Mytilus edulis: one gene and its partner. The protein of the gene in region 1 interacts with the protein of each later gene in a pairwise test. Links are inferred from orthologs where the notes say so. Each region holds a gene or a part of one and is shown on either strand. Other genes may lie near its edges. The genes, in order: cyclin-dependent kinase 14-like and cyclin-Y-like protein 1.

What was found.
Region 2: the proteins of cyclin-dependent kinase 14-like (region 1) and cyclin-Y-like protein 1 interact in a two-hybrid assay, tested with the Drosophila melanogaster proteins (2 studies listed by BioGRID). The link is inferred for Mytilus edulis from reciprocal best matches to the Drosophila melanogaster genes Eip63E and CycY.

The regions. Positions count from the first base shown.
Region 1 is NC_092357.1:68,241,929-68,257,671, reverse strand, and holds the start of cyclin-dependent kinase 14-like, read left to right. Parts: upstream 1-7,767; 5' UTR 7,768-7,879; coding exon 7,880-7,928; intron 7,929-15,743.
Region 2 is NC_092357.1:70,151,981-70,168,634, forward strand, and holds the start of cyclin-Y-like protein 1, read right to left. Parts: upstream 8,863-16,654; 5' UTR 8,535-8,862; coding exon 8,336-8,534; intron 1-8,335.

The DNA of each region.
Region 1 (15,743 bases):
AAAAATGGTGATTATGTGATTACTAGGACCCCCCATGAGGGGCCTCAATAATGTATTTTTTATTTTGGTATATGTAACATTATATTTAAAGTTCATAGATATATACATAGATATAGAACCTTATCATTTTTTTTCAATTTCAATTTTGTCTATTCTTAAACGATAGACAAGTTTAATTATATAATTTTCTTTTGTTAATATACTTATTTTTTTTTTATCAAAGGTTAAAATATAATAAGCTATATGTCATTTTCAAATTTGTTTTTGGAATGTTGGGGGACTCATTGCAAAGGGCTATGACAAAACTTGTGACCCCTTGTTCATTAAGTCAATAAACAAATATGAAATTGGTTTTTTTTTTGGCTGAGACCCATTTAGGATATAATTCCACATTAAAAATAATTGGGTCATTCCACTATCATCCTATCTGTAGACAAGTGACTAAGTATAATAATAGATTTTTTGGTGTCATTGCAATATTAAGAAAACCACATGTTAAAGATCATTTTAAAATATTGAAAATCACTAATGCTGATTATCAGTTGGTGAAATTAGATAAAAACTTTTTGGGTCTTCAAAAAGACCTGTTTATATGTGTGGTATATTTTCCACCTAGTTTATCCTCTTATACTAAGGGTCTTGATGTAAATATTTTGGATTGCATACAAAAAGATATTACAGATACATTTGGAGATGTCAATTTTCTTCCTTGTGGAGATTTTAATGCAAGAACAGGAACAAGCCCTGATATATATCATGCATGATGATAATAAATTCCTACCCTTGTTTAAATCATATCCTATAGACAAAATTATTACAGAAGCATACTTCAAATTATCAAAAGATTTATTGTCACTGAATCCTTCTGCTAAAACTAGTATGCATGTTTTTGATCATACAATTAAACCAATTCTATTATATGGTTGTGAGGTGTGGGGAATGTTTAATCCATTCACATCTAAATTTAGGAATGGCTTGTTAACCTTTCACCAAATTTATGATAAATGTCAAGCAGAAAGATTGCATTTAAAATTCTGTAAATATATTCTTGGTGTCCACTCAAAGGCAAAAAATATAGCTGCTTTATCTGAATTGGGCAGACTTCCTTTATATTTCAATATTGTAAAAGCTATGGTTAAATACTATAACAGGTTAATAACTCAGTTTATATCTCCACTACTAGATAGTGCTTTTCATGAATCAATATTTTATCTGATGCAAAAAAAACCTTCATGGTATGGTAGTTTCAATGTGATATTAAAAATTATTAAGTCTGCTGACCCAATGAACAACCAAAACATACTAAATGTAAATAGTAAGTTTATAAAGAATTGTTTTTTTTACAAGAATGGGAGCAGACATTACAAATACATGCTGGTAGTAAACTATGCTCTTATGTACTTTATAAAAATAATTTTGTCTGTGAAAAATATTTATCTGTAATCCGCAATGTTAATATTAGAAAAAATCTGACAAGGCTACATGCTTCAGCACACTCCCTAAAGATTGAAAAGGGAAGGTATCAGGGTATTTCTCGACACGATAGAACTTGTCCCAGATGCTCAAGTTCTGAAATTGAAGATGAGTTACATTTTCCCCTTAATTGTACCTCATTAAATAATGAGAGAAATAAATAAATAGTTTGTGCTAGGAAATGTTGTGCTAATTTTGATATGTTGACAATTAAAGTTTGACAATTGACAGTTTATTTGGTTAATGAGTAATGAGAACAAGGATATCTTGTATGAAATGTGTGATTTTATAAAACAAACAAAAAAATACTCATGATTCATACCATTGTTTGTATATTTTGTGTATTCTCTTTTTTCTCTTAGAGCATTGGGACAGGTTGTACTAGAGGCTGCAACCAAATCCAAATATTTCACACAGAAATTTTACAGAATTATATTACTATGTCCTTTAAGCACCTGCCCTTGGTGGCTCCTGCATATGGATAACTACATGTTAATCTTAAAAAAATATTTATAATGTGGTTCAGCAAAAAGGAGGACTATAATATAGTAATTCTTTTTAAGTATTAGTTTATGCTTGTGTTGTAAAATGTTTAAATTTTTCAGATTTCTGTGAAGCGGCTTGAGTGTCCTTTAAGCACCTCCCTTGTAGTCCTATAACATATGACCTCGGGGGCATTATTTACTATTTCTATTTACTGTTCTGATAATTTTTTTTACTATCAATGTGCCAAAAAAATAAAAAAATGAAAATATCAGTATAAAAACGTTAAACATTGAATAAGAATGCGAAGTCATATGTTATAGGACTATCTTTACCTAGTCCAAATAATTATGACGTCTTGAAAGGCTATTATAATTTTTTTCTTTGACGCCTTACGTCGATGTAAGGCGTCAAAGAAAAAAATTATAATAGCCTTTCAAGACGTCATAATTATTTGGACTAATCTTTACCCGGGTCATCCATTTATCGTCCTCTTCTAACATAAAGTTAGTACAGAAAACAAGGTACGTACTTGACTACTTCATAGATGAAACTGACTTTCCAATTTCTTGTGCAATGCACCTGCATCACATTGCACTCAATGTTTTCAACCACAAGTTAGAGTGAATTTCAAAAACCTTTACCCTCAAAGATATAAAATGCAAACCTGGTATTCGTCATCGCCATGCAAATAAAGAATACAATCTGCTGCAAGCACTACGGACCTTGGAATCATTAACAGTAAAAAAATGTGAGAGTTGTAAAGTGGTTATTTGTGTCATGTAGTCGTTGCCTCGAGATCGTTTACACTAAGACCTAAATGTACTTTAACATTGCATTCAACGCATTGTGACCAAAGGGAAATAACTCAAACGTCTTTGTCATCATAACATCTAAGTATTACTAAGTTACTTACAACAAAAACATGTAGGCATAATGGCTATAGATCGTATTTGTTTGGCGTTTTGGCTTGGAGGACTTACTAAAAAATAACTAGCATGTGACCAATAACATAAAGCATTATCACAGTTATTTTTAAGCACAGCACATAAAAGCTCATATATATATGAGAGTCTGGATGGGGTTTATAAAATTAACAAACATGTCCCCGAAATGAATAGAAAATTAACAAAAAAACATTAATAAAAAATAATTAATTATGTGTAATAGCATTAAGAATAACTTGAAAAATAAAATAACTAGGTAATATAATACCAATTACAGAAATGTACGATGTACGGGATAAAGCAATCATGTACCGTACAGGAAAAAAATGATAGAAAACTGATTATATTGACTTACAGTCAGCTATGTCACTATATAGTACTTCCATGATATGCACTCTATATCGCTATCGGACTTACTTAGCATGCACTCTATGTCACTATCATGCTTCCATGATATGCACTCTATATCGCTATCGGACTTACTTATGATGCACTCTATGTCACTATCATGCTTCCATGATATGCACTCTATATCGCTATCGGACTTACTTAGGATGCACTCTATGTCACTATCATGCTTCCATGATATGCACTCTATATCGCTATCGGACTTACTTAGGATGCACTCTATGTCACTATCATGCTTCCATGATATGCACTCTATATCGCTATCGGACTTACTTAGGATGCACTCTATGTCACTATCATGCTTCCATGATATGCACTCTATATCGCTATCGGACTTACTTAGGATGCACTCTATGTCACTATCATGCTTCCATGATATGCACTCTATATCGCTATCGGACTTACTTAGGATGCACTCTATGTCACTATCATGCTTGTCAGGTCAATAAAGATTGCTTATTTTGGCGTTAATATTGATTCACTTATTGGGTCTTTGCATCGGAACTAAACACATTTATTAAAAAAACAGTTGTTGGCATGACACGGGTTATGTTCTTCTCATATATGTTATGATGGTATGATACTAAACCCCTAACGGGAAGGATTGTGCCTGATATTCATATGATGAAATCATAATCTTTCAATCAGTTTAATTGAAGTCTGGAGCTGGCATGTCAGTTAACTGCTAGTAGTCTGTTGTTATTTATGTATTGTTGTCATTTTGTTTATTTTCTTTGGTTACATCTTCTGACATCAGACTCGGACTTCTCTTGAATTGAATTTTAAATGTGCGTATTGTTATGCATTTACTTTTCTACATTGGCTAGAGGTATAGGGGGAGGGTTGAGAGTTCATAAACATGTTTAACCCCGCCGCATTTTTGCGCCTGTCCCAAGTCAGGAGCCTCTGGCCTTTGTTAGTCTTGTATTTTTTTAATTTTAGTTTCTTGTGTACAATTCGGAAATTAGTATGGCGTTCATTATCACTGAACTAGTATATATTTGTTTAGGGGCCAGCTGAAGGACGCCTCCGGGTGCGGGAATGTCTCGCTACATTGAAGACCTGTTGATGATCTTCTGCTGTTGTTTTTTCTATGGTCGGGTTGTTGTCTCTTTGACACATTCCCCATTTCCATTCTCAATTTTATTCCATGTTGTGCAATATTGTTTTCCAGTGTATGGTGCGTACTCTGATTGTCCTTCCGTAATTAGTATTCTGTCATACATACTCTCATGGTGTGCCCCCTGTAAATATTGAGCAACCATGCCATAAGGTATACTTCTATGACCAAAAGTAAACTCTGTCGTTGATAGTGTAAATACAAAAATTTTTGCATGCATTTATTTTTGTGATTTTTTAAGAATAGACAGCAATGCGAGATTGATTGTTGCGATTTCAGGAAAATCTATTAGAATTCAGCTGAATTGCTACAACCACCATGTCGCATATTTAAAACCATGCAATGAAATCTTAATTTTGAGAGCAACTCTGTCAGTATTGTACTTCAATGGTGTGTACTCTGTCACGAAAGAGAGACCAAAAATATCAAAGGGATACACAAACTCATTAGTCGAATATGAACTAAATATGCCATAGCAAGGGGGAGGACAGGGGGGTACCCTTCTCCCTTCTCCCACCCCTTTTCTCCTTTCTCCTACCCCCGTTCTCCTTTCTCCCATTAGAATAAAACGTCTCCTTTTGAGATATTTTTTCTTGAAATATTAGAAAATTTTTTAAAAGGAGAGATATTTTATTTTTCTCCTTTCTCCAACTTTTTCTCCTTTCTCCCAGCCTTCCTCTCCTTTCTCCTACCCCCTTTCTCCTTTCTCCCACCCCCTTTCTCCTTTCTCCTACCCCGTTTCTCCCTGTCCTCCCCCTCATAGCAAGAAACGAAAAAAACGACCACAAAACAAATAGTAGTATACAAAACATAATATAGAAAAATAAGACTTAGCAGATGAGGACCCCCTCCGAAATCCCTTTAAAAAAACTAATCAAAAATATCAGATGATCCGGAGGAGTAAGAAAATCCAGCCCCAATCGTTTCACCTGCGGTTTTGCTCATGCAAGCACAAACACGATGATTTAATTTAGTATAATTTCTGTAAATTTCGCTCTTTTAATTCAGTGGCGATAATTTGTACTAAATGCAATGGCGGATCCAGGGAGTTCCGAGGGATGAACCCTCTTTTTTGACGACCAATGCATTTGAATTTGACATATGATTGGACCCCCCCCCCCCTTTTGAAATGGCTGCATCCGCCCCTGAAATGCGATTTAAATAATGTGGAAAATGAACACTTACCTTGAGAAAAAGATGACACTGTAAGCAATATTTATTATCATACTTCACATAAAAATGCCGTATTTTGATTGTCTAATACGCTGGTGTTAATTTACTCTGTCACCTGGCTGAGCGGGTGACAATTTTAAGTAGAATGTCACTCTCTCGTCCATTCCAATTAAAATCTATAATTTATAAAGGGAAATGAATTGAATTTACATTAAGTTATGAAAGACCATTCTTAAGTTCTACGTTTTGGCTCAGCTGCGGATTTTACAATTTGAATGTCAGTTGAAATGGAAAAAAACAAAAAACATCTTGCTTAACTTCTGTTGATTTTTTTTAATACCAGTAACGTTGTTGCCGGTGTTACTCACAGGCACTCGTCTCAGAAAAAAAAAATAAAGGTGTATAGGGGCTGCATGAGACGAGTGCCTGTGGTGTTACTCTATATTTAATTCACCTTGCATCTGAGACTACTATAACACAGTGTTATAGTAGTCTCAGCTTGCATGTATAAATTCAAGACAAAAAGCTAAATAAAAAAACCACACACACACACACACAAAACAAACTTTTCCCACTACATTTATTATTTTAATTATTTTTCTCTAAAAAATTGTTCACAATAAATTCCTGCGTTTTATATCGGCAGACTATTCATTTTCATTCTGTCTAATGTGGGAAAAATCATGTATTTGCAACTCTTACCAGTCAAGGTCGGAAGATTCATTTAAAAAATCACAATATACTTACAATTACCTTTAGGGAGCAACCATTTGCTGCGAATGGTCACGGCCTGTCTTTTTTTTTTTTTTTATTAATTTATCCTTACTTTTTTTTTTACATTGATTGTCATCCTTCATGTTTTGCCAAGTTGCTCATCATGCCTGCCCTATTGTTATACTCAAAACTGTCCAGTCCTATCTTTCATCAAATATTTCATTCTACCCCGGCCCCCCTAAATTAAACAATTTGTAGCTGCCTTATACGTGTTCATTTTATATATTTGCATCTTTTTAGCTCACCTGGCCCAAAGGGCCAAGTGAGCTTTTCCCATCACTTGGCGTCCGTCGTCCGCCGTCGTCATCGTCGTCGTCCGTCGTCCGTCGTCGTCCGTCGTCGTTAACTTTTGCAAAAATCTTTTCCTCTGAAACTACTGTGCCAAATTAAACCAAACTTGGCCACAATCATCATTGGGGTATCTAGTTTAAAAAATGTGTGGCGTGACCCGGCCAACCAACCAAGATGGCCGCCATGGCTAAAAATAGAACATAGGGGTAAAATGCAGTTTTTGGCTTATAACTCAAAAACCAAAGCATTAAGAGAAAATCTGACAGGGTTTAATTGTTTATAAGGTCAAGATCTATCTGCCCTGATGTTTTCACATGGATTGGACAACCCATTGTTAGGTTACTGTCCTGAATTGGTAATTTTAAGGAAATTTTGCCGTTTTTTGTTATTATCTTGAATATTATTATAGATAGAGATAAACTGTATACAGCAATATAAACGTTCAGCAAAATAAGATCTACAAATAAGTTTCATGACCAAAATAGTCAATTGACCCCTTAAGGAGTTATTGCCCTTTATAGTTAATTTTTAACATTTTTGATAAATTTTTGTAAATTTTTAGAAAATATTTTCCACTGTAATTACTGGGCCAAGTTCATTAGAGATAGAGATAATTGTAGCAACAAGAATGTTCAATAAAGTAAGATCTACAAACACATCACTATCACCAAAACACAATTATGTCATGAATTTATCCGTGTCCATTGTTTAATATGCACAAGACCAAGGTGAGCGTCACAGGCTCTTTAGAGCCTCTAGTTTCTCTCTCATTACCGTATTTAACAGTATGTTGGGCTTAAAAAGTCAGTTAACTATGATTATTCAGTGACACACAGCAAACTGAACTCCAAAGTGCTGAACTCACTAGTTTATTTACAAAAAATTAGGGGGGCAAAAATACGTCAGTAGATACATAGCAATAATTTCTCGAAACACTGTACAATTCTTATTCTGTCTATTTCATCGGAATATAACGGTATGTTAAGTGATCGTAAGCGAGTGGTCTGATTGATTGCAAGCAATATTTCATAACTATAATTGTAGTTAAATTTCCCGCGGTTTTAACTAGACTAGAAGAGTTCCGAATGAAATGTATTGACAGAAAATCGAAAATCAGAAAAAGGTCGCCAAACAACAATGGAACATTTTCTTACAATGAAATGAATTATAATGAAATTTAATCATTCAAAAGTGAATTCACACGGAGAATATGGCGACCGAAGTCCGCTGTAATGGTGAAAAACCGAAATCAAGAGACGGTAAGGTTTTTTTCAAGATGTTTTTGTGTAACCGGATGACTCATGTCGCATAAAAAAGGGGTTCTTCGTTGACAAAAGAATGACTGTTCTTGACACACTTATTGACATCTTGTAAAATGAATGTTCATATAATAATAACATTTTGCATTTTGTAATAGACGCCTGTAATATTTTATTTGTTTATTAGCGAAGAAATTTCATATATATGTTTCAGTTTCAGTTCAGCCGAACAGCTGAACAGTGCAGGCCTGTAGCATACCTGCCAACTTTTCAAAATGCTCATGGGGGTTTTGCGTGCAAGATGGCTAATGTAGTCCTACAAAACCTTCAAGGGGACCTTTATGTATATTTTAATGTTGTTTTTAGGCTTCTTCATACTGTTACAAACCTTTAGCCACTATAAAACTAATTGTTTTGTTTAAATTTGTGGACAAAATTGCTCTTTCAAAATTTCCATTTAGGAGCCTCCATGGGGGAAATCCCCCGCAAATAGTGACACTTGGCAGGTATGCTGTAGGTTGTCCAACCTTTCAGACAAGTGCACATGTAGTGTCATCATCATTCATATGACAACCTTAAGTTTAGACTATCCTGGCCTGAAACTAAAAGATCCTAATTCCAAAATTTTTACTGCTGTCAAATATATTCTTGTGTTTTTGGCTTTTGTTAATTTGGTGTGTTTGCCCTTTAGGCTCTATTTATGTTAGAAGATGGTCCCTTTCCCAACCTCTCAAGTAATTTAATAAAAGTACATTTGTACATGTTTTTTTGAACATTTCCTAGCAGTCACTCTCAAAGATCAAGTCATCATGTGTTTCAAAGGACCACAGAGTTGCATTATTTATTGGGGCTCTCATTTGGGGGGGGTTCTGATCCCGGATCCCGCTTACTGTTTTGTCAGATTCCCGTTTCCCGCTTACACTATGTACGTAAGCAATTCTCATTTTTTTGTCATTTCCCGGGTCCCGTTAGACCTCATTTCCCAATTTCAAGACATAATAATTTGACTTTCACGTGTCACACTTAAAAGAAATCGGCAATCCTGCGTCACGCTTAGACCTCATTTCCCGTTTTCAAGACACAATAATTTGACTTTCACGTGTCACACTTACAAGAAATCGGCAATCCTGCGTCACGCTTAGACCCCAATGAGACTCACTTTATCAGCATTGGTAAATTGGCCTAAATTTAATTGTTTCTGGGGGACTATTTTCCATATTTGGGGACCACCTCAGACTTTTTCTACACTGCTTGGTCAAATTATTTGAAAAAAAACCCCTGCTTTCTTGTGCTGTAACATAATATTATATTAATATCTTAAATTTAAAAATGTAAAAAAATAGTGCCATTAAATCATACATTGTACATGTAGGTTGGCAACCAATTTTCAATACTAATATAAAATGAGAAGTGAGGGGGGGGATAGGGTCGGAGGGGGTCTGATCCTGAAATCTAGGGCTTCAAAACATGAGATCCTGAGGTTCCAACTTTAAAGAAATTTAAATTCCGACATTCCAGAAATTGAAAAAAGAATTTCTAGATCCTGAAAGGATTAATCCCTAAATCCCAAGTTTAAAAACACCTGATCCTGGCGTCCCGAAAAAGGTTCTGCCCCCCTTTAAAATGAGGCTTTAATGTTATTTGCCACCAATTGAATTGAACCAATTACTACATCATGTCACAGAAAAAGAATGTTAAATGGTCTATTATAGTGTCATACAATATCTGCCCTTTGATACAATACATGAACATGATTTGATATTTTTTATCATTGTGAAATTTTCAACTAAAAAGGCTCACAATTTAGTAAAATATCTTTCATTTCCATTTACATTATTCAATGTGAGGGGAGATAATCACTTAATGAATTGCAAAATATCAATATCTTTTCTTTGAACTCAATCTATCCTACATGTTTATGGTTACAGGTACGTGTAGATACATGTATATAAATTGTACAAGTAAATAAATTGTAATTTTTAACAATATTAGTTATTACAGTAATAACTTTGAGAACCATCAGGGGCGGATCCAGCCATTTTAAAAATGGGGGGTTCCCAACCCAGGATAAAGGGGGGGTGGGGGTCCAGCTATATGTCCCCTTTAAAATGCATTGATCGGCCAAAAAAAGGGAGGGTTCATTCTCAATTTTATTATGATTCTCCTTTGGACAGCCCCAATATATAATTAAATTTGTATATCTGATGGGATACATATCAGCTAATTACTTTTAATTATTTAATATACAATGTATATATTATAAGATTGATTTTACAAGCACCTAAGCCAATATAATCATCCTCACTGTTGTGTTTACATATAAAATAAACCAACTTATTATGTTTATTTCCTTTGAAAAGATATTGATCTTGTAGTATTTATTTACATAAGAGAGGGTTTGTAAATACTTAAGATGTGGTAATAATACTGTGTACATGTGAAGAGAAAACAGGTGCATGTTAAATGCTTGAAGTCAACTTAATTCCAAAATTTGAAAAGGTATTACATTTAACATGTTTAAATATATATATATATAAAGAGGGAATTTGAAATATTTTTAATCATAAACATGCAAGAGTTCATCTCTCTGTCCAGTTTTTGAACCTGGTCAGGTAAATTTGTTCTTTGCTTTTGAAAAGTTGCTGATAAAAGAGAACAAACATGATTTTCTCGCTGCATTGTAGATACTTTGGCTGTTCTCTTCTCTTTGGTCAGGTTGTTGTCTCTTTCACACATTCCCCATTTCCATTCTCAATTTTATACTTATTTTTGTAGTAGGGTCTAAGGCATGAAAAATTAAAATAAATAAGGCCACACATTAAAAAATATTTCTTAGATGTTTCCTACCATGATGCCTCGTACAGTTTAGTATATAGAGAGGGATTTTTTTCTTGGCCAAAATTGGACTTTAGACGAGACATAAAAAGTAAAATCACAAAAATACCGAACTCTAAGGAAAATTCAAATTGAAAAGTCCCTAATTATCAAATGGCAAAATTAAAAGCTCAAACACATCAAACCAATGGATAACAACTGTCATATTACATTTTGTATTACAGACTTTGTACTGGGATTTTATTATGTAGAAAATGAGAATGAAACCTGGTTTTATAGCTAGCTAAACATCTCACTAATGTGTGACAGTCGCATCAAATTAAATGGATCTAACTAGACAAGTAGGTTTTTTTTTGAGTTTTTCCCTTATTAAGATGACTTTACCAGAAGATTACAGTCGGTAATTTTAAGTGAGATAAAATTGAGAATGGAAATGGGGAATATGTCAAAAAGACATCAACCCGACCAAAGAGCAGACAACAGCAGAAGGCCACCAATGAGTCTTCAATGCAGCAAGAAAATTCTGCACCCAGATGTCCTTCAGCTGGCCCCTAAATAAAAATGTGTACTATTACTATAGTTCAGTGATGATGGATGTCATACTAAACTCCAAAATATATATAAAAGAAACTAAAATTAAAAATTTGTACAAGACTATCAAAGGCGGCAGGTTAAACAAGTTTTTTGAGATCTCAACCCTCCCCCTATACCTCTAGCCAATGTAGAAAAAAACAAATGCGCAACAATATGCACAGTAAAACTCAGTTTGAAAGTTTAAGACCATACTTTACAATAGTTAAAGCAAGCTAGGATCAATTAGAGGATATTTGATGTTTTAATTCAGTGAGTTATCATGGTTATATGAATGATTTAATTCTGGTCTGTATCTCAGATCATCTTCTATATTGCTTCCTTAAATCAATAAAAATGTTTCAAAGATGATTTATTACACTGATTCTAGTACATTATATATATATATATGTTTTAATTAGTATAAAACTTGATGGGTATATATTGTAAACATCGCAGATCAAAGATTTGGAAATGAAACAGAATTGGGTAATGATGAAACAGGGATGATTGTTTACATATTTGAGTGTGGGAAGAAAAATTTATTGTTGATTGACAATTCATTTTTGTCTTTTCCTATGCATGTTTAATTTTGTTTCCTGCATATTGAGTTGCAGAATACTCATTTTCATTGTGTCTTTTGTACAGTTATTTATTTAGATCTTACCAGTCCAGTATATTTATTTTCAATATCCAAATCCCCACCCCCTCAAAAAATAATATACAAGAAAACAATAAAACCAAGTTCCATCCTCAAACAGCTGGGACGGTTAAAAAAAGTTCTGATTGTCTCATAAACCAGGATCTTTCTTTCACATTTATACATTCATATACCATGAATGTGAAGCCACGTACATGTAGCTGAAGAGGGCAATATTAACATGAGTAAAAATCCATTACGCAAATAAAAAAAGGACTTCTCATGGAAGAAGAGAAAAAAGACAAGAGACAACCATCCATTAAACAATTGAGCAGACCAAAAACAAGGAGTATAATAAATTCCAATGCTCTAGAAGGAGCACATGTTGTGCAGTAAATGTATTGTACTCCACTTATTGGTGGTGACAGTTTAAATCAGGTGAAAACACATCACCACAATAGTTCCAGCTTGAATTTCAGGGCAGAAGGGTGCTGGTTTGTTTTTGAGAGCAGAAGGGTGCTGGTTTGCTTTTGAGGGCAGAAGGGTGCTGGTTTGCTTTTGAGGGCAGAAGGGTGCTGGTTTGCTTTTGAGGGAAGGGTGCTGGTTTGCTTTTGAGGGCAGAAGGGTGCTGGTTTGCTTTTGAGGGCAGAAGGGTGCTGGTTTGCTTTTGAGGGCAGAAGGGTGCTGGTTTGCTTTTGAGGGAAGGGTGCTGGTTTGCTTTTTAGGGCAGAAGGGTGCTGGTTTGCTTTTGAGGGCAGAAGGGTGCTGGTTTGCTTTTGAGGGCAGAAGGGTGCTGGTTTGATTTTGAGGACAGAAGGGTGCTGGTTTGCTTTTGAGGGCATGCAGAAGGGTGCTGGTTTGCTTTTGAGGGCAGAAGGGTGCTGGTTTGATTTTGAGGACAGAAGGGTGCTGGTTTGCTTTTGAGGGCATGCAGAAGGGTGCTGGTTTGCTTTTGAGGGCAGAAGGGTGCTGGTTTGCTTTTGAGGGCAGAAGGGTGCTGGTTTGCTTTTGAGGGCAGAAGGGTGCTGGTTTGCTTTTGAGGGCAGAAGTGTGCTGGTTTGCTTTTGAGGGAAGAAGGGTGCTGGTTTGCTTTTGAGGGTAGAAGGGTGCTGGTTTGCTTTTGAGGGCATGCAGAAGGGTGCTGGTTTGCTTTTAAGGGCAGAAGGGTAAGGGGCATTAGGGCACCTAGAGTGGGTCCTTCTATTGTTGGCAGACAGGAACACTGCATATTTAGTAATTTAATTCTTTAATATCACCAAATTACATCTAATTTGAATAAAATCATAATTAGATAGCCAAGTCGAACAAAATGAGCAATTATTGGTACATTACAATTTAGTAATCTAAAAGTTTGAATTGAAAACAAAGTGAAAAACACAACAAATTACTTTGCCACCAATTATTGAATGAAATGAAGAAATTTACGATTCACAAACAAACAACAAATCATTTTGAAATGAAAACAGACTCATAACTAAATGATTGCATTGGCTTCTATAATCTTTGCTGTGTTGATTGTAATAAGTGTTTTTTTAAGGAGAACTTGTCAGTTCAACTTCACAGGATTAGATAAAAGATGCTTCACTTATCTGAAACAGTAAATCAGAAATATTTATTAAATGGCCTATTAAAACAGATTGATGGCTTTTGTGTTTTTCTCTCCGTTTCAAGCTTGGAATTTTGAAGCTAAATGGATATATATTTAGAAATTAAGAAAAGTTAACTTTTAGATTTGAGTTTTGATTTTAATGCTTTTAAGCTGTTGGTATATGAGCACCTGCTTAATTAACATTCATTATTACAAAATCCTGGGCTTTGATTAGGGAGCTACCATTTGATTTTTAGGGTGCCAAGATTAAATTTGAAAAGGCAGTACAGGAGTTTTGAGTACATATATATACAGGTGAAAACACAATCACAAACGTGCAGTGGCGGATCCAGAACTTTTTCTAAGGGGGGCCCGCTGACTGACCTAAGGGGGGGCCCGCTCCAGTCATGCTTCAATGATTCCCTATATAATCAACCAAATTTTTCCCACGAAAGGGGGGGGGGGCCCGGGCCCCCCAGGGCCCCCCTGAATCCGCCTATGACGTGTGCATCAGACTATTTGTCAGTGTTTTATCTCAGAGGTACAACCTGGATAATTCTTGTTTGAGATCTTAATACAATTTGAATAATTATATTGTTTACTGATTTTCTTGCTGCATTGAAGCTCCTCTTTTCTGCATGCTCTTTGATCTGGTTGTTTTCTCTTTGACACATTCTAGTTTCCATTCTCTTTTCTAAGTTCTTATATCCATGATTTCATCTTGAGTTTAACTGTATACTATGTACATGTATACTCTCACATTGACAACAGGCGCGGATCCAGAGGGGGGTTCCGGGGGTTGGAACCCCCCCTCTTTTTTGGCCAATCAATGCATTTGAATGGGAGCATATAGCTGGAACCCCCCCTTTACTCTGGGTTGGGAACCCCCCCTTTTTAAAATGGCTGGATCCGCCCCTGGACAATTTGTATGATATAATTTAAACATTTCATACATAGGCTAAATTATAATATTGATTCAAGTCACTCTCTTTGACTCATTCTTACGTTTCAATTCTCTAATCTATGTTCAAATATCATCTTGAAATTGACTGTATGACTCTTGCATTGATGATTAAAGCATTATGTTCTATGATATAAACATTTTATACATAGGCAATTAAAATTGATTTCTTTCGCTGATTTCAGTGTAGGTTGTAGACTAGTTAAATGATTTACATGTAGATTACAAAATTAGATTATTGATCTTTTATAATTAGTTTGTAACAGGATATAGTAGTCTATATAGTACATACATATACATGTAGGTAAAGAAAATTAGTGCATTTTGATTGTGGTTAAAACATGTACATGTTTATTTTTAGCATGTACATGTATGGTGTATACATGTATATGCATATATTGTATATGTTTTCTAACATATTGTATATATATATATAAATATATATAAGAAGTTGATATTTTATTTTATTCCAACAGGAAATGGCATTAAATTAAACATAATTGAAAATTAAAACATGATTATTCAATTAAATTGTGTTAAATATGTTATAATATATTTCTTTAAAGCTCTTGAATGTATATTTTCACAGCTTAAAAGATATTAGAATTGTCACAATGCAAGAGGGTATAGATGGGGTTACCTTCATTTTTGTACTTTTAATTTTAAATGGCCATTTTTTTTTCTCTATTCTTTAATTGTTTTGCTTTAATTTTCTGTATTCCTCCCTCCCCCCCCCCTTATGAAAAGTTCTGGATCTGCCACTGTAATTGATTCTTTAGATTTTATGTTTTTAAGCTTTATTCTGCACTCTGTGTTTCTATTCTGTAAACCTTAACCAGACCCTCATGCATTATAGTATACCCCTGTCTGCAGTGGCGGATCCAGAAATTTTCATAAGTGGGGCCCACTGGCTGCCTTAGAGGGGGCCCGATCTTGTCACGCTTCAGTGATTCCCTATATAAGCAACCAAATTTTTTTCTCGAAAGGGGATCCCCGGTCCACCTGCCCCCCCCCCTAAATCCGCCTCTGGTATGGGTGTTCCTTACTCTGTTTCAAAATGTCAAGTGTTTAAAAAGACTGTTATAAATTGATAGTATGTGAATAAAAGGAATTAAAATTGCAGAAAAAAATCAGGGGTTCGTGTGCTTGTTTTGGAGATACAATGAAGCCATATTGCAAAATTGTTGGGAAATGATTCTCTCTAGATTTTTCATATATACA
Region 2 (16,654 bases), about 1.9 Mb from region 1:
GTAGGTAGGCATTTTCTTTTTTTTTTTTCAAAAAAAGAAATTGAAGTATTGGGTGTTTATTAGTCTTCATGCCTATCTGATTAAAAAAAAACTTCTTCAAATCAGGACAATAAGAGAATTTGAGTAGGCAGTTTTTTTCTGGGTAGGTAGGGTTTGGGCAAACAAACCTATTCTTTTTTATGGCCTTGAAGGGATATCCTTTAGCTGTTGTTAAGTGGGGTTCAATTCGCTCTGAAAACACATGTTCACCCCATACTTCACCACTTGGGTTCCTGCACTGTATCACACCTTATTTTTATTTTCAATGCTGGTTGAACTATTCATTATTGTTAAGATAAATGTATCCTACTTTTCATCATGTTTATTTTGTCATGAATAAAATTTTGTGAATTTTCTAAATGACAAATTGTTTTTGCGATTGAATGATTAAAATGTTAACTATATACATATATACAATGTAATTTACTGTTAATTGGGGTTACACAGCTTATTTAATAATCTTGTTATCTAAGCTTCCCCTTTAATTTATAAATCTTAGACATGTTAGACATGATAAATGAGTAAACTTGGATTTTGTTCATCATGACAATATATATTATTCATTTCTTTAAACATGTTAAAATAATTCACAAAACACTAAACATGCTTAAGGAGCCAAGTTTACATTTTCAGAATGTCACTTCATTTTAAATCATTAAAAGAAAATCTAATCATTTCTAGTAATCTTAATTATATGACAATATTTGTGACTCATCCATGTGTCATCATGCTCATTTCACAAAAAATCTAAGGAGAATTTTTTTTGAAATACTGAACGTTTCTTTTACACTCAATTTTAGTCCAAAGATTATTGTGCGATGAGCCCTATACCTATTTTAGTTTTTGAGAATGGTTATGGCAGATTTTACAATAAGAAGGAACTGGAAGTATTGTTTTTTTTGTATCCATCAAAAAAGGAATTGCTGAAACTGTGAAACAGACTGTGTAATGAAGTAATGCATTATGTTATTGAATAAAATGTGTCTTTCTGAGTAAATAAAAATAAAAATTAGGCCAACTAAAATTAATTAGTAGATTTTCATCCAAATTTTTTAAAAATAATAGGCGGGTGGGAGGATTTTATTTTTTAAATTTTATTTCATATGAAACCCTTTTGTGACGAGTTATTTATATATGCAAGTGTAATGATAAGCTTATATCATGTATACTCAAGTATGAGGAATCTTACATAATTTTTCAAATCCATAAATAAATTATACTATCTAATTGTGGCTTTAAAAACTAAACAACGAAAATGTGTGAGAAATGCTCTCTTCAGTTGGACTACCTTCACAAAATGTATTTGGGTTTCTAAACGATGGTTTGTATTCCATTAAAATGAAGCAAATGCAATGGTATGCAATACATTTATTATCTATTATGAGTACATAATAAAATGAAAACTCGAATAGTGTTGAAATAATAGGGTTGGTACTTATGCAAGCTAAAATTATAATTATCATGTAAAACATGAACTTAATAAAAAAAAAAGTATTGTTTAATGACTCTTTTGTGTGTATTCAGACATTTGCTGTTTGTCAACATAAAAATAAAATGCGTATGTTTGTCGACTTTTTAAATTCAAAATACGGTCATAAATCTAACAAGTTCGTGCTTGTGTTTCAATATCTTTAATCCAGTCATGTTTTCTGTATCAATGGTTTCCACGATTCTTGTGCTTTGGGTATCATTCACAGTTTAAATTTCCTGACACAAAGCCATTGCATAAATAAAAAAATCCACAGTTTTCTATTAAATCACAGAAATTTGTGACATACCCCGATTTGCGGTCTTGGAAACAGAGTGTTTCTCGTAACACGAATATTTTTACGTCATTCTCGTAATCAATATTTACTTTCAGAAGATGATGTTGTCATCATGAGAGCAGCAGAATATGTCGACTTAATCATTTTGGTTAGATTTACTCGAGGTACAAAACCGAAATTTGAAACAGGAAGCTTCGAATGAAACGAAATTTAAACAGTTACCAGTGACGGAAATGAACAAAATCCGGAAATTGTAAATTTTATAAAATAAAAAAATTAGGGGCGGGCCAATTTCATAGGGGCGGGCGGGGATGAAAATCTATCAATTATTTCTAATTGGCCTTACTCTGTGTTTGTGTTTTTTGTTAGAATTAGAGGGTTTTCAATTTCAAAATATTGGACATGGAATAGTGGAATAGACATCATGACTTACTTGACTGACATCTAGCTTATTTGGAGTGGAATTTTAAAGTATTATTCATAAGTGGAGCCTAATGGCTAATAACATCAACTTATATTTTAATAAAAAGTCTTCTTTTGTGTTTTAATCATAACTTTAAAGCAGATTTTTATTGGGAAAGGCTAAAAAAGGCAATTTAATAATATTATTGCGAACGTCACGTCTTTTCCATCCATTGTGGTATGTCACGATCGCAATTATTTTGTTGGTTCTCAGACAGCCCATTGTAGTTGTTTTTATCCCGGGTTTTATTATAGTTGAAAATAGCAATCATATTAAATTTGGATGACGTTAGGGGGTCAAAGGACTTAAGGAATCAATATCATTGGCTGTTTTATTTTTTTGCAAACGTTACTGCTCGACGTTTCCATCCAAATCAGTGTCACGTGAGCAATATATATTTAGATCTGTAACTCTCCTGTATAGTAGTTACAATATCGCTTTTTGCAGATTTTGATTCGGAGTCAGTTCCTTCACATGATGGGGAAGCAAAGAACATAAAGAAGGTAAGTTGTATGTAATATCGTTACAAGAGGACCTTAAATGTATTCTGTCCATCAAAAAGACGTTCGCAATTAAACGTTGAATCAAGTAATGTCATGATAGTAGATGTTGCTAATGTTACTAATATTACGAATTGGTTTCTTGTGTATTCATTTGATATAAAGTACACCTGCAAATGACATTCTGTATATTTAGGAATTTTAAACCAGATTGTACAACTTTATTACTCGAGGCATATATTAAACATCACTGTGTGCATACATTTTAACTTTTAAAGATGTTGTTGCTAATGTGACATGTCCAAATGTCGCTAACGTTACTCATTTTTGTTTTCTTGTGTATTCATTTGATATAAAGTACACCTTCATTTTTGTATCCATCACGTTAGCAACATGAAAGTAGGAGACAGAACACAATGCTGTAAAATCTGCCTTAAATGTTACATGTATGCAAAATTCATATGAAAATTAATGTTGAAAAAAACCTTTAACCCTCTTGATGCCAGATGGACACATGTGTGTACAAACTCCACACTGACTCACACAGTGCGGGAGGGACATATGTCAGTTTTAATTTATAAGCTTTTTTGCTGTATCTTTTTCAAATAAAAAATCAATAACAATGTTATGTTTTTATTCAATGTGTCCAGAATGTTACAGTCATCATACATCGAATGAGGGCTATTCCAGTAAAAATTATCCAGGGGGGGTGGAACGCCACTTATTTTTTTACCCCCCACCTATGGAAAAGATTAAAAAAATACACCCCCACCTAGAACATGTATTTTCTTCCAAGACCCCCTACCTAGAGAAAAAAAATAAAAGTTAGCTAGTTTTTTAAAGTATACAAAAATGTTGCATCCTGTCAAATAAATGTAAAATTTGTTGGTTTATCTATTTCAGTGCATCCAAAAAGGGGGGGGCCCCTGGCCCCCCCTAAATCCGCCTCTGGTCTCAATGGCAATCATATCACATCTTCTTTTTTATACTAGCTATGTTGCTATTAAAATATAAAATGAAACATGTAACAATGTTATGGAGCAGCAGACGACAGATGCAACATGACGGCAATAGCTCACAGTGACCGAAAAAGGGGGTGCGATTTTAATTATGGCCCATTTTATTTTTAAAACTGTCAATAACATTTTCAGGTACGACATATTCATCAGGTGGGGAAACTGGTTGGCACCAACCATTTGATGTTTCAGAGTTTAGTTTGAGCCATAAAATATTTTTGGTAGGCACAATGTAATTCTTTTTTTATTTTTTGTATTTCTTATATACATTTTTTTTTTCAATAGGCAAATGTTGAGGAAGATGATATACTCTCCTGTGTAACAAGGCCATATTTTTCCGCAAAAATTAGGCCATTTTTTTCCTTCAATACCACCCACGCAACATGCGCAATAAAAATCTAATTGTCTGTGCCAAATATAAATATTTTTTTATGGACCGCATAGTTTGGATGTCACCCACACATAATTTTTTGTGGGGAGACGGTATACAAGGGAGAGGGTACTTGAAGTTGTTATAAACTGTATGCAATAAAATATTATTTGGGCCAAAAATTGCAAAGAATTGGCCAGTCCACCTTATTAAGGACATATTCTTTGCAAGGAAAGAGATTTAAGTACAGCAAATTCTGCCATTTCAATTTCAATGAATATACAATAACTTCTTCCAACCGCAACAATATTTAAGTTAACCTTTATTTACAATGTTTAAACTGGTACTGTTGCCTTGTTCATGTTCATGTTGGTTTTTTTTTACATTAAATTTGGGTCTTCGTCGATACCATACTTATTCCAGACGTTCCGTATCAGAGGACATTTCAGGCAATTCCTCTGCACTTCTTGTATCATTATATCTTCATCACGGTGACAAGAATAACAGTATAGAGTACCATTAATTCATAGAACAAAACAACAAATCGCTGAAGAAGTCATGTTTACAAAATGTCAAAATGAGCCAAAGACCAAACTAGAGGCTCTAAAGAGCCTGTGTCGCTCACCTTGGTCTACAATGGTCTATGTGAATATTAAACAAAGGAAGCAGATTGAAAATTGACTACAAAGTTCAATAACTCCTACAGGGGTCAATTGACCATTTCGTTCATGTTGACTTATTTGTAGATCTTACTTTGCTGAAAATTATTGCTGTTTATAGTTTACCTATATCTATAATAATATTCAATATAATAACCAAAAACAGCAAAATTTCCTTAAAATTAACAATTCAGGGGCCGCAACCCAAAAACAGGTTGTCCAATTCATCTGAAAATTTCAGGGCAGATAGATCTTCGCCTGATTAACAATTTTATCCAATGTCAGATTAGCTCTAAATGCTTTGGTTTTTGAGTTATAAGCCAAAAACTGCATTTTACCCCTATGTTCTATTTATAGCCATGGCGGTCATCTTGGTTAGTTGGCGGGGTCACCGGACACAATTTTTAAACTAGATACCCCAATGATGATTGTGGCCAAGTTTCAAATAATTTGGTCCAGCAGTTTCAGAGGAGAAGATTTTTCTAAAAGATTACTAAGATTTACGAAAAATGGTTAAAAATTGACTATAAAGGGCAATAACTCCTAAAGTGGTCAACTGATCATTTTGGTCATGTTGACTTATTTGTAGATCTTTCTTTGCTGAACATTATTGCTTTTTACAGTTTATCTCTATCTAAAATAATATTCAAGATAATAACCAAAAACAACAAAATTTCCTTAAAATTACCAATTCAGGGGCAGCAACCTAACAACGGAATGTCAGATTCATCTGAAAATTTCAGAGCAGATAGATCTTAACCTGATTAACAATATTACCCTTTGTCAGATTTGCCCTAAATGCTTTGGTTTTTGAGTTATAAGCCAAAAACTGCATTTTACCCCTATGTTCTATTTATAGCCATGGCGGCCATCTTGGTTAGTTGGCGGGGTCACCGGACACAATTTTTAAACTAGATACCCCAATGATGATTGTGGCCAAGTTTGGTTAAATTTGGCCTAGTAGTTTCAGAGGAGAAGATTTTTGTAAAAGTTAACGCAGGACGACGACGGACGACGCCGGACGCCGGACGCCAAGTGATGAGAAAAGCTCACTTGGCCCTTCGGGCCAGGTGAGCTAAAAATGACAAGGACAGTTAAGCGTCTTTTATGGAGACAAAAACTATATTCCTAAAAAGTCTTTGGGGTTCTTCAATCGAAATAATAGCAAGCTAAACTAAATGAGATTATTATAAGGGCTAAATCTCGTCTGTACTAGCCAAATTTAACAAATTTAAAGTTGTTTATAAAAAAAATATATATCATGAATGATGGTTAATTACGTTTTTCGGGTTATCAGTTAGACCGCATGGTTTTATTATTACAATAGGAAAACACCCGAGACGTGAAGTCGCATGGTTCTATTATCATAGGTAAACATCCGAGACTTCCCAAAAATATATAGGTGCTCCTATTATTGGAGGAACATTACACAGTTGTGTACACACACATGGCGGCATGGAACACGATCGGAAATTCATTTGACGATATCTAAACGTTTCGAAACGAAGTGAAAAGTATCGTGCGCCACGTGGGCGCTTACATTTGTCACTGTATGCGCCATTTCTTGTCAATATGCGCTATAGGCGCAGGAGGCACGTCCTTCCCGATCACTGGTTTGACAAGAACACAAACGGACGCTTAAAATTAGTGGTCTGCCAACTTTATTTGCAGTCGGATGACCTTTTCAGGAGAATCTTCCTTCATAACAGGGGGAACAATATGTTTAACCTATCATTCAGAAACCCCCCACCAACAGAAATGAATTTAAATCGGGACCACCACCCTCCAGAATACAATTATGTTGATAACCCCCCACCTATGGAAAAAAATATCGTCGGCGTTCCGCCCCTCCTAGGTAAATTTTACTGGAATAGCCCTGATGACATTGTTGGACATCTAACGTTAACTTTCAGACATAGAGTTGTCACATTTTCTGGCACATAAAATGCAACCTTGAAAAACAACTGGCAGCAATAGGGTTAAAATCCCCTTTTGGTTGTAGCCTCAGTGATGAAAAACTCATTCTGCATTAATACTGGTTTCTTATCTTTTGCAGGGATCTCCATGGCCTGTTTAACGATGGAGCCCGGCCATCGTTCAAATGTCTTGCGCCATCGTCAAATGACTCGCGCCATCGTTAAATTGTCTTGCGCCATCGTTAAATTGTCTTCCGCCATCGTTCAAAACTTCATCGTTTTTTGTAGCCCGACGCCATTTTTTTATCAATTATAATCAAATGCATGTAATTGCATAACCCTTAGGCTTTTTATGTTATAATCCAATACAGTTCTAACGCCTGAGGGATATCCGGATTAAGATCGCTAATTACTTGTACCTGAGCTTGTACAGGTAGATCAACAAACCAGACAGGAGAATACTATCTGAGGATAGACGATCCATTTGTCGAAGTAATCAACTAAGTTTCAGCAAATGATTATGATCATTTAGATTAAATAAATAAATTAATAAATTAATCCAGTTACAAAGAAAACAGTTTAACAAGTCGAACACGTGCTTTATTTTGAATTACGCAATCAGCATCCCCCTTTTTTAAGAAGTACAAAATAAGACGCAAAACAGTAAATATTATTTCATCGCAAATAACTCGAGTACTGCTGTAACGATAATTTAGAATTACTTTAAAAGTTTAAAAGTGAAAACTTAAATATTTCCTGTAAAGAAATATCGTATCTAAATTCCGAATTCATTTCGTATATTACAATCAAATTGATACATCCGCGTTTCCGGTTTCTATTCAGACTCGAAAGATGCATGTTGCACAGCATCAATTTTTCCAGATAAAGTCATTAAAAACCTTTTCATTTGTCAACGTTTGCTTTACAAATCTCTTTAACCTTTTACATAACCCGTACGAATTGATTTGTTGTTGCTGCAAATCAGCCATACCGGTAATGGGCTCTGAATTTGACAGTGTCCACGAAAAATAAGCTCCACATCAGATGATTTTTAACCCCCATAACAATTACCAAAAATAAAAGAAATCTGCATGGGGACCTTCATGACAGCTTTTGGTCATTCTCGACTAAGGGGGGACCATGAAGACTTGGCATTTGAATGGTTAAAAACGGCAATAAATGAAAATATTGATACTTCTAATTCTATAATGAAAATTCAAATAAATATAATTTAAATAAGCAATGAATTAGCATGTTCACCATTCCTTGTATGGAGGGATAAAATACTTCCGATCGCGCTACACTGTACAGCGTAGACAAGGTTTGTAATGGTGAAAGTTCCTCCATGGTTCAATTTTCATCCATGGAGATCCCTGCTTTTGATTGATTTCCTTTATATCATTGTATTTGTTTACATGTATGATTTGTCTGTTTAATTAACATTCAACATTTTCCTTTTTTATGATAGCAGGTACACGAGTAGTAAGATTTAAAAAATGGTGCACTAAGGGAGTGAATATTGTTTTGGACGAACAGAGCTGGATATTTTCAAGTAAAGGTGTCAGGTTTTAAAAACTAATTATAGGGTGTGACATATGTTCAATACCTTCAGGTAAGATTTCCCTGTCACTAATGTGTGGTACCGCTGACAAAGAAGGTGTACTCAGGTTATTGTGTGTTAACGTCACACGTACATCATCTTGTCTGTGATTAGCAGACTGAGGTGTGGTTGAAGTCCTGTATGCATCCTCAGGTCGTCTAGGCTTGGACCCTCCAAATGAACAGCACGATTGCTTATTCCCCATCTATACTGTTATTTACTATACTTTAAAAGTTACTTCATGGCGACCATGTATCATGGTTAACAATATATTGTCAGTTCTTTGGTATCAGCTGATTTTTCTAAACCAGCGCACCCAAAAAGATGCTCGTGCCGGGTTGGTATTCTGTGTGAATCATCAATATGAATTAAAAAGCAGTTTACTTTTTGGGAAAATAATGTTGACCTATTGAATTTGTGTGGTTATAGGTACAGTGTTTATGCTATTTGAACCCAATTTAGCTCAGATAAATTATTAGTATCCTTCATTTGTTCAACATCACAACGACGGAAATGTCGGAAGTGGTCCAGACAACTGTAATGCAGTTAATTTATAATGCGTTTTGATTGGACAAAATTAACGAAAGTATTTTAGCTGGAAAATTCGAATGAGTTTTAGTTTAAACAAAATTCTTTCGCTTTTCAGTAATTTTCCTTATTGCTTCATACTATTTATAAAATTTTCCATCAAAAAGAATTTGAACTAATTTCTTCATCCAAATATTCATGAAACAAATTTTTTCAACGACTTCAGTTTTAATAATCTAGCAATTTTGTTTACTGATACTGAACTACCAGATAAAATTGTGCATGCAGGTTCTGTAGGCTCTGTAGAGGCATTTAAGACCGACCTTCAACTAACAAGAACACCGCCCATAACAACGGCTCACTTCCCCACCGTGTATAAAAGCCTTAACATGATTATACATGTACCAATCAAAGTACAAATACATATATATATATACAGATACGGCATTATAATAATGTAGACAGATTTGCTCTTTTTTTAAACCTTTTACCCACATTTTCTCTATTCTTAAATCTTTTGGACAAATTTTCTCTATTCTTAAAATCTTTAAGACAGATTTTTTTCTATTCGTAAATATTTTAGACAGATTTTCTCTATTCTTTTAAAAAAAAGAAGATGTGGTATGACTGCCAATGAGACAACTATCCACAAAAGATTTTCTCTACTCTAAAACCTTTTAGGCAGATTTTCTCTATTCTTTAATCTTTTGGACAGATTTTCTCTATTCTTAATTTATTTGAGACAGATTTTTTCTATTCTGAAATATTTTAGAAAGATTTTCTCTATTCTTATACCTTTTAGACTGATTTTCTATATTCTTAAATATTGTAGACAGATTTTCTATATTCTTATACCTTTTACACAGATTTTCTCTATTCTTAAATAATTTAATTTTGGATGTAACACGTTTTTTGATTGGCTGAAGTTATTTTGTTATCAGCCCATAGACATAATATCATGTAACCGTGACGTCATCAACGTTTTTTTCATGGTTTTCTACGGTTTAAAATGGAATTTAGAATTAAATTATAAGAAATGACTGTAATATTTTTTCTGTCTATTCGAAATAACATAAAAAATGTGGTGCACACTGTTAAATAACTCGCTACGCGCGTTATTCAGTGTGCACCAAATTTTTTATGTTATTTCTTCATAGACAGAAAAAAAACTTTTATCCAAATTTTATTTATTCATAAATCTTTTAGACAGATTTTCTCTACTCTTAAATCTTTTAGACAGATTTTCTCTATTCTTAAAATCTTTTAGATCATTGTTTTGTGTTATTATAAAATGTGCTGTTACAAAATGATAGAAATTATTATAAATTAAGGAATGTATCTCCCTCAAGCAAAGCACTGATTCCTTTCACGGATTTGGCTATATTTTGTGGACCTTTTGGATTATAGCTCTTCATCTTTTATATAAGCTTTATATTTCAAATATTTTGGCCACGAGCATCACTGAAGAGACATGTATTGTCGAAATGCGCATCTGGTGCAGGAAAATTGGTACCGTTATGTTATTTTTATGTAATAGATTTTCTCTATTCTGAAATCTTTAAGACAGATTTTCTTTATTTTTAAATCTTTCCGGAGACAGATTTTCTCTATTCTTATTTTTTAAAATTCAATTCTTATAATTGAGCACTCCATTATGCTCTATTCTATATTTTGGGACTAATTTTCTCTCTATTCTTTACAGTGTTTGCCCTTTGTACAGCACTTTTACTCATGTAAACCCAATTCAGACCCTCATATTCGACCCACTATATAGATATGTTAACTTTAGTCAGCTTGGTTGCGTACAATATCGTAGCGGCTACATAGGGCTACGCAGATTTTTGACTATTGAACGTGTAGTTTGCCTAGCTGCTACATAAATTTTGATAGCAGCTAGGCTAGCTACTAGTTCAATAGTCATAAATCTACGGAGCACTACGTAGAATTATTTAGCTGCTAGGATGTTAAATGCAACCCTGGATTTGGCATACCTACGGGACTTTCGGTCCTCGATGCTTTGTACAACTTCGTCCTTAATTTGGCATTTTAATCTGTTTTATTTGAACACCACTGATGAATCTTATGTAAACGCAACTCGCGTCATAAATACAAAATTACAAGCCTATTTGGCATTTTGATTTATTTAAAAAAAAAAATTATAAAAATTTCTCACAATCTTAAATTACGTGTACCTGCGTGTGTAACTGTATGGGTTACGTTCAATATCGTAGCAGCTACATATATAGGACACCTCGATTTTTTTTCTACTGAACGTGATCACTATTCTAGGCTAGCTACACGTTCAGTAGTCAAATATTTATGTAGCTCCAGGCATATTTAGATCTATGTAGCTTCTATATTGAACGTAACCTCATATAGACATTCGATTTCCATTACATAATTTATTAACAACAGGGTTGAGTTCAATATCTTTGTAACAACTAGTCTATAGCTACACGTTCAATAATCAAAATCTACGTAGCACTGCGTAGCTGCTACGATATTGAACGGAGCCATGTTTATAAATTAGTAGATTGCTATCAAGATGACAACGTTTTTCAATATAGAATCATATTCAAAACAGTGTAGCTGTGGCCATTGATTGGCAACCTTAAATTATCCCATTGACTGGGGCAGATTATGTGAACGTTTGTCTGTAACAACCGCTGCTCACTATGTACTTGTTAAAGGTACTTAAACTGTGGGGTCACAAAAGGTTCTCAACACCTAAATAAAGAAATTAGAAAAACTAATCAGGAATAACTCGATGTTTTGATTTATATCAATAATATAAATCAAAACATAAAGTTATTCCTGATTAATTTTTCGAACTATTTTAATATTAAAGGCGTTAAGAACCTTTGGTGACCCCACAGTTTAAATTCTATAATAAGCAAGTAGTGAGCAGTTGTCGTTACAGACACACGTTCACCTAATCTGCCCCAGTCAATGGGATAATTTAAGGTTGTCAATCAATGGCCACAGCTACACTGTTTTGAATATGATTCTAATGGGAATATATGCCTCAAGGTGGATTTTTTTCTGGAAAGCGACCGGTGATTTCATCAGACACTGTAATCAGCAAAATCAATTAATAATTATACAAATGTATATAATTCTCAAACTGATCAATATAAAACCCAAGGGAATTTTTAACTTAATCTAATTAATCAGGCTTCCTCTCTGTATTCTGGAACCATTTCTCTATTCTTTATACATGTACCTGACTAAAAAAAGCACATAACAATGGGCAAAGGTTCCAGACTTGAGATAGGCGCAAAAAATACGGGTAAGATATCTTAGAAAATATATGAGACATCTTATAAGAGATATGAGACATCTTATAAGATATATGAGACATCTTATAAAATATATGAGACATCTTATAAAATACATAAGATATCTTGATATATAAAAAAAATATTTATCAGCTGACATTTACCCGAAGGAACTTAGTCACATAATACTTTTAATTAAACAATTTTTAATATCAACAACAATTATAACTGTCCTTTCCTAGACAGGGACGGATCCAGCCATTTTAAAAAGGGGGGTTCCCAACCCAGGACAAAAAAGGGGGGGTTCCAACTATATGTCCCCATTCAAATTCATTGATTGGACAAGAAAAAGAGGGTTTCCCCTGGGTCCGCCAATGGTAGATTTAGATATTTCATTATTACAATAGAAGCTCTTCACCCAAAATTTCGACTAAAGGGATGAGTCTTATGTAGACGAAACGCGCCACTGGCGTACTAAATTATAATCCTGGTATTTTGATAATTATTTACACCACTGGGTCGATGCTACTGCTGGTGGACGTTTCGTCCCCGAGGGTATCACCAGCCCAGTAGTCAACACTTCGGTGTTGACATGAATATTAATAATGTGGTCATTTTTATAAATTTCCTGTTTACAAAACTTTGAATTATTCGTAAAACTAAGGATTTTCTTATCCCAGGCATAGATTGCCTTAGCGGTATTTGGCACAACTTTTTGGAATTTTGGATCCTCAATGCTCTTCAACTTTGTACTTGTTTGGCTTTATAAATATTTTACTGATGAGTCTTATGTAGACGAAACGCGCGTCTGGCGTACTAAATTATAATCCTGGTACTTTTGATAACTATTTGCTTTCCCTATTATTTATTTTCCCTTTTTAGACGTTGGTGGTCCTTTGGTACCGTACAAAGGTATTTATTTACTCCTTCGCTTGGTCGCATCTGAAGTGACGTTTTAGATGTTAGTGAGTAATCTATGTATAAATTTTATTATAGTTAATGTATAATAATTAACTATGTATTAAAGGGAAACTTCGCAAAAAAATCAAAAATTGATATTATGTCCATTCTGTATAAAAATGCTCAAATTTATAGATATTAAAGTTTTATTCCGCTAAATAAGAGATCACCATCGATTTTAAATTTTGAGTATCAGTTCTCTGCTCTCCGCCATCTTGTCACCTTCTCCGATGAAAAATCCCGATATGTCTATAAACCACAAAGGAACAAAACTACAGTAAACGATGTAGTCGTAATTGCGTGTCGATATCTTGTCAATCGTACGGTTGTTTTATCTGACTGACTAACTTGATACGGAAAATGGTCTTATTTTTAAATAACCATATAGTCTGTTAATTTTAAACTGATAATATTGTAATTAGTTAAAAAGTCAAAGTTCAAATCATAAATAAGTGTTCCGTGGAAATTGTTTTCGAAAATCTAATTCGATCATAATTCTTTCAAGTAATAAACTTTATTTAAATAAATTCGGATCTTCCCTCATCTGATCACCAGCATGGCTAAAGGTATTACTCCCAAAGGTATTGGAAGGGGTGTAAGGTGACACGTCCAGGTATTCAATCGATTTCCTGTCCGGCGGGCTTGCAAGTTCATGCATCGTTTCACTTCTGTAGGTATTGATCAGTGTACACGACCGTTACTTATAACTTTCCATTTTGAACTATCAGGTGCATGTATAATATACATTTTTGTCTTGCGTGTCCGAAAGTGATATAATATACTAGTCATTACTGAACTCATACGCTTGTTTATAAATAACATTTCTGGTGTAAAGAATATTATTTACAAAAAAAAAATAATACAAAAAAAAAATTGAAGAAATACAAATCTATTTACATATTTTTCCAAGGGTTAATTTGGGAAAATGTAATATATACTCGTTGTCAATAGTTTAGGACAGATTGGAACATACCAGAATTATTGATTTAAAAAAATGTGCGCACTTGTCGACGATTCGTGTATACATACGCCTGGGTAGAAAGTTACGGAACTATAGTCAGTAGCGCAATTTAAAATATGTATACATGTATACATTGAACATAAGAAAGAAACATACATTTTGTGTAAATTGTGGTAAAAGTTTTGTAAATAGACTAGTCCACGTATGACAACAGTATGTAATCAACGAATTCGATAGACTATTGTATACCAAAAGAAGAAGAAGAAAAAAAAAGAAACAATTTGATTTAAATACAGGTCAATTTATAACTTGCTTTGGTTCATCGAAGTTAAGAACATAGTAAACTCACAGATTTATATATCAATCAGATTGTTCTCGAATAAGAACGAAATTCGTCATCATCACAATTGTTCCAACATTCATGTAAAATATATGCAACTGGACGTACACTAATAATCCCCAAGGGATGTGAATATTTTCTAGGAAAACTATTGAGTATCAATTTCGGGATTTATTTTCTTTCTTGGTATTCAATGACAGCAATTTAAAGAATAAACTGCTTGTCGGATATTTGTTCGCTTTAGGGGTATTCTTGCAAGTTGAACAGACTTATAAAAACATTCAAAAATAGGGAAAGATAACATTAAATTCGTTGTCTTTTAATTTTAAACATCGTTGGTCAAATAGTTATTTAAGTATATATATACGTTGGGAGACGACGATTATTATAGTAGTCTCAGATTTTAATAAGGACGTTCCCGATTATGAATAAATTTGGTTGACGTTTTTCACACTTGAAAAGAATATCTATTCGTAATTTTTCGATTCCATTCCAATACAAAAGTATTTTTTCTTTATTCGTACATATTATATATTCCGCTTCGGTAGAGTTATCTTCAGATAGTTTCATATATTAATTAATACATGGCTTTCAAAAGTCTAAATGTAAGTGTTGTCGTACATTTTTTCGCCTAATAAAGACAAATAAAAATGATTTAGTGAAGCTATTTCTAATTTCTAAGTCCCCCTTTTTTATGAGACATAAATCAAGGACAAGACTTGTATATCATTTCATTCTGACATATGAATTAAGTTTCCCGTCTTTAACCGAAAATTGTGTATTTCTTAGTAAATTAACTTATTTGAATTCAAATAAATAATAGCACCAAATATAATTAAATAACGGTCTCTAAAAACACCGCAAAGGACTTCCTTTGTGCACAAAGGAGCACAAAGGAGCACTAAGGACCTCAAAGAAGTTTAATAAGAGCACAAAGGACCTTAATTTCCCTTTAAAGCATTAAAATATTATAATTCCTGAAGAAAAATGTAAAAAAATTAAAATAGTTTCAATAAAAATTGCGATTTTTATGCAATCTCCCATGCAGAGAGAGCAAGGACCGACAACTCTGCATGGGAGATTGATTTTTATGATGTACGATTTGGTATAATCACCGGTATCGGTTTGGAACCGACTTTATATCCGGGCTATATGATAGCTCATGTATGTGAATTTTTAAATAGTTTTAATATGATATTAATGATAAAAACGTCATTTATTATTTTTAATATTTTGTTGTAATATTTTTTAAGAAAAAAAATATGTATTAAGTTGAATTGGCATTAAAGTTGAAGATATACGAACTGCACAGTCATGTGTTCTGTAATGGGTACGGATATGCATAATATTACGACCCTTTTCTATAAGATTTTACTTAGTAATACATTCATGAATTAGAAAATATTGAGAAAACACAAACATATGATATAAATACAGACTGGGTAATAAACCGAACAAAAATAAAGCAAACATTGAGATCTCATAAACATGTTTAACCCCGCCGCAATTTTGCGCCTGTCCCAAGTCAGGAGCCTCTGGCCTTTGTTAGTCTTGTATGATTTTAAATTTTAGTTTCTTGTGTATAATTCGGAGTTTAGTATGACGTCCATTATCACTGCACTATTATGCATATTTTAGGGGCCAGCTGAAGGACACCTACGGGTGCGGGAATTCTCGCTACATTGAAGACCCATTGGTTACCTTCGGCTGTTGTTTGCTCTATGGTCGGGTGGTTGTCGCTTTGACATATTCACCATTTCCTTTCTCAATTTTATTGTTGGTCAAGATTTCGACTCGAGCATTAATCAGTTAATAAGGATTGTTTCATAAAGACTTGATAGCACTTGGGATGAAAAAACGTTATAAATTCTTTACAGTTAATTATTAGCGTTAAAAGACTGTCTTTAAAAACAATTACATTCAGAAAATAATCAAATATGTATTTTTAAATTTTAAATTATAAATATATTTAAAAAAACAAAAGAAAACTATAGACATATGCACAATAATAATATACCTACGGGTCTGGAGGCCAATACAGCAAACCTTGAATCTATACCAGTGCCAATACATAAACAGCCAGTTAAAAACACTATAAAAACATAGTGTATTTTGAAGTTTATGAAATACGGATTGACAAATTTAAACTAATTACCTACCTTTATAATTATTGCCATAGTATTCCCTTTGTGCCTTTAGAAACGTTTTCGTCATAGCAATACTGACATATTACCATACATAAGAAAGCTAGCTGATGA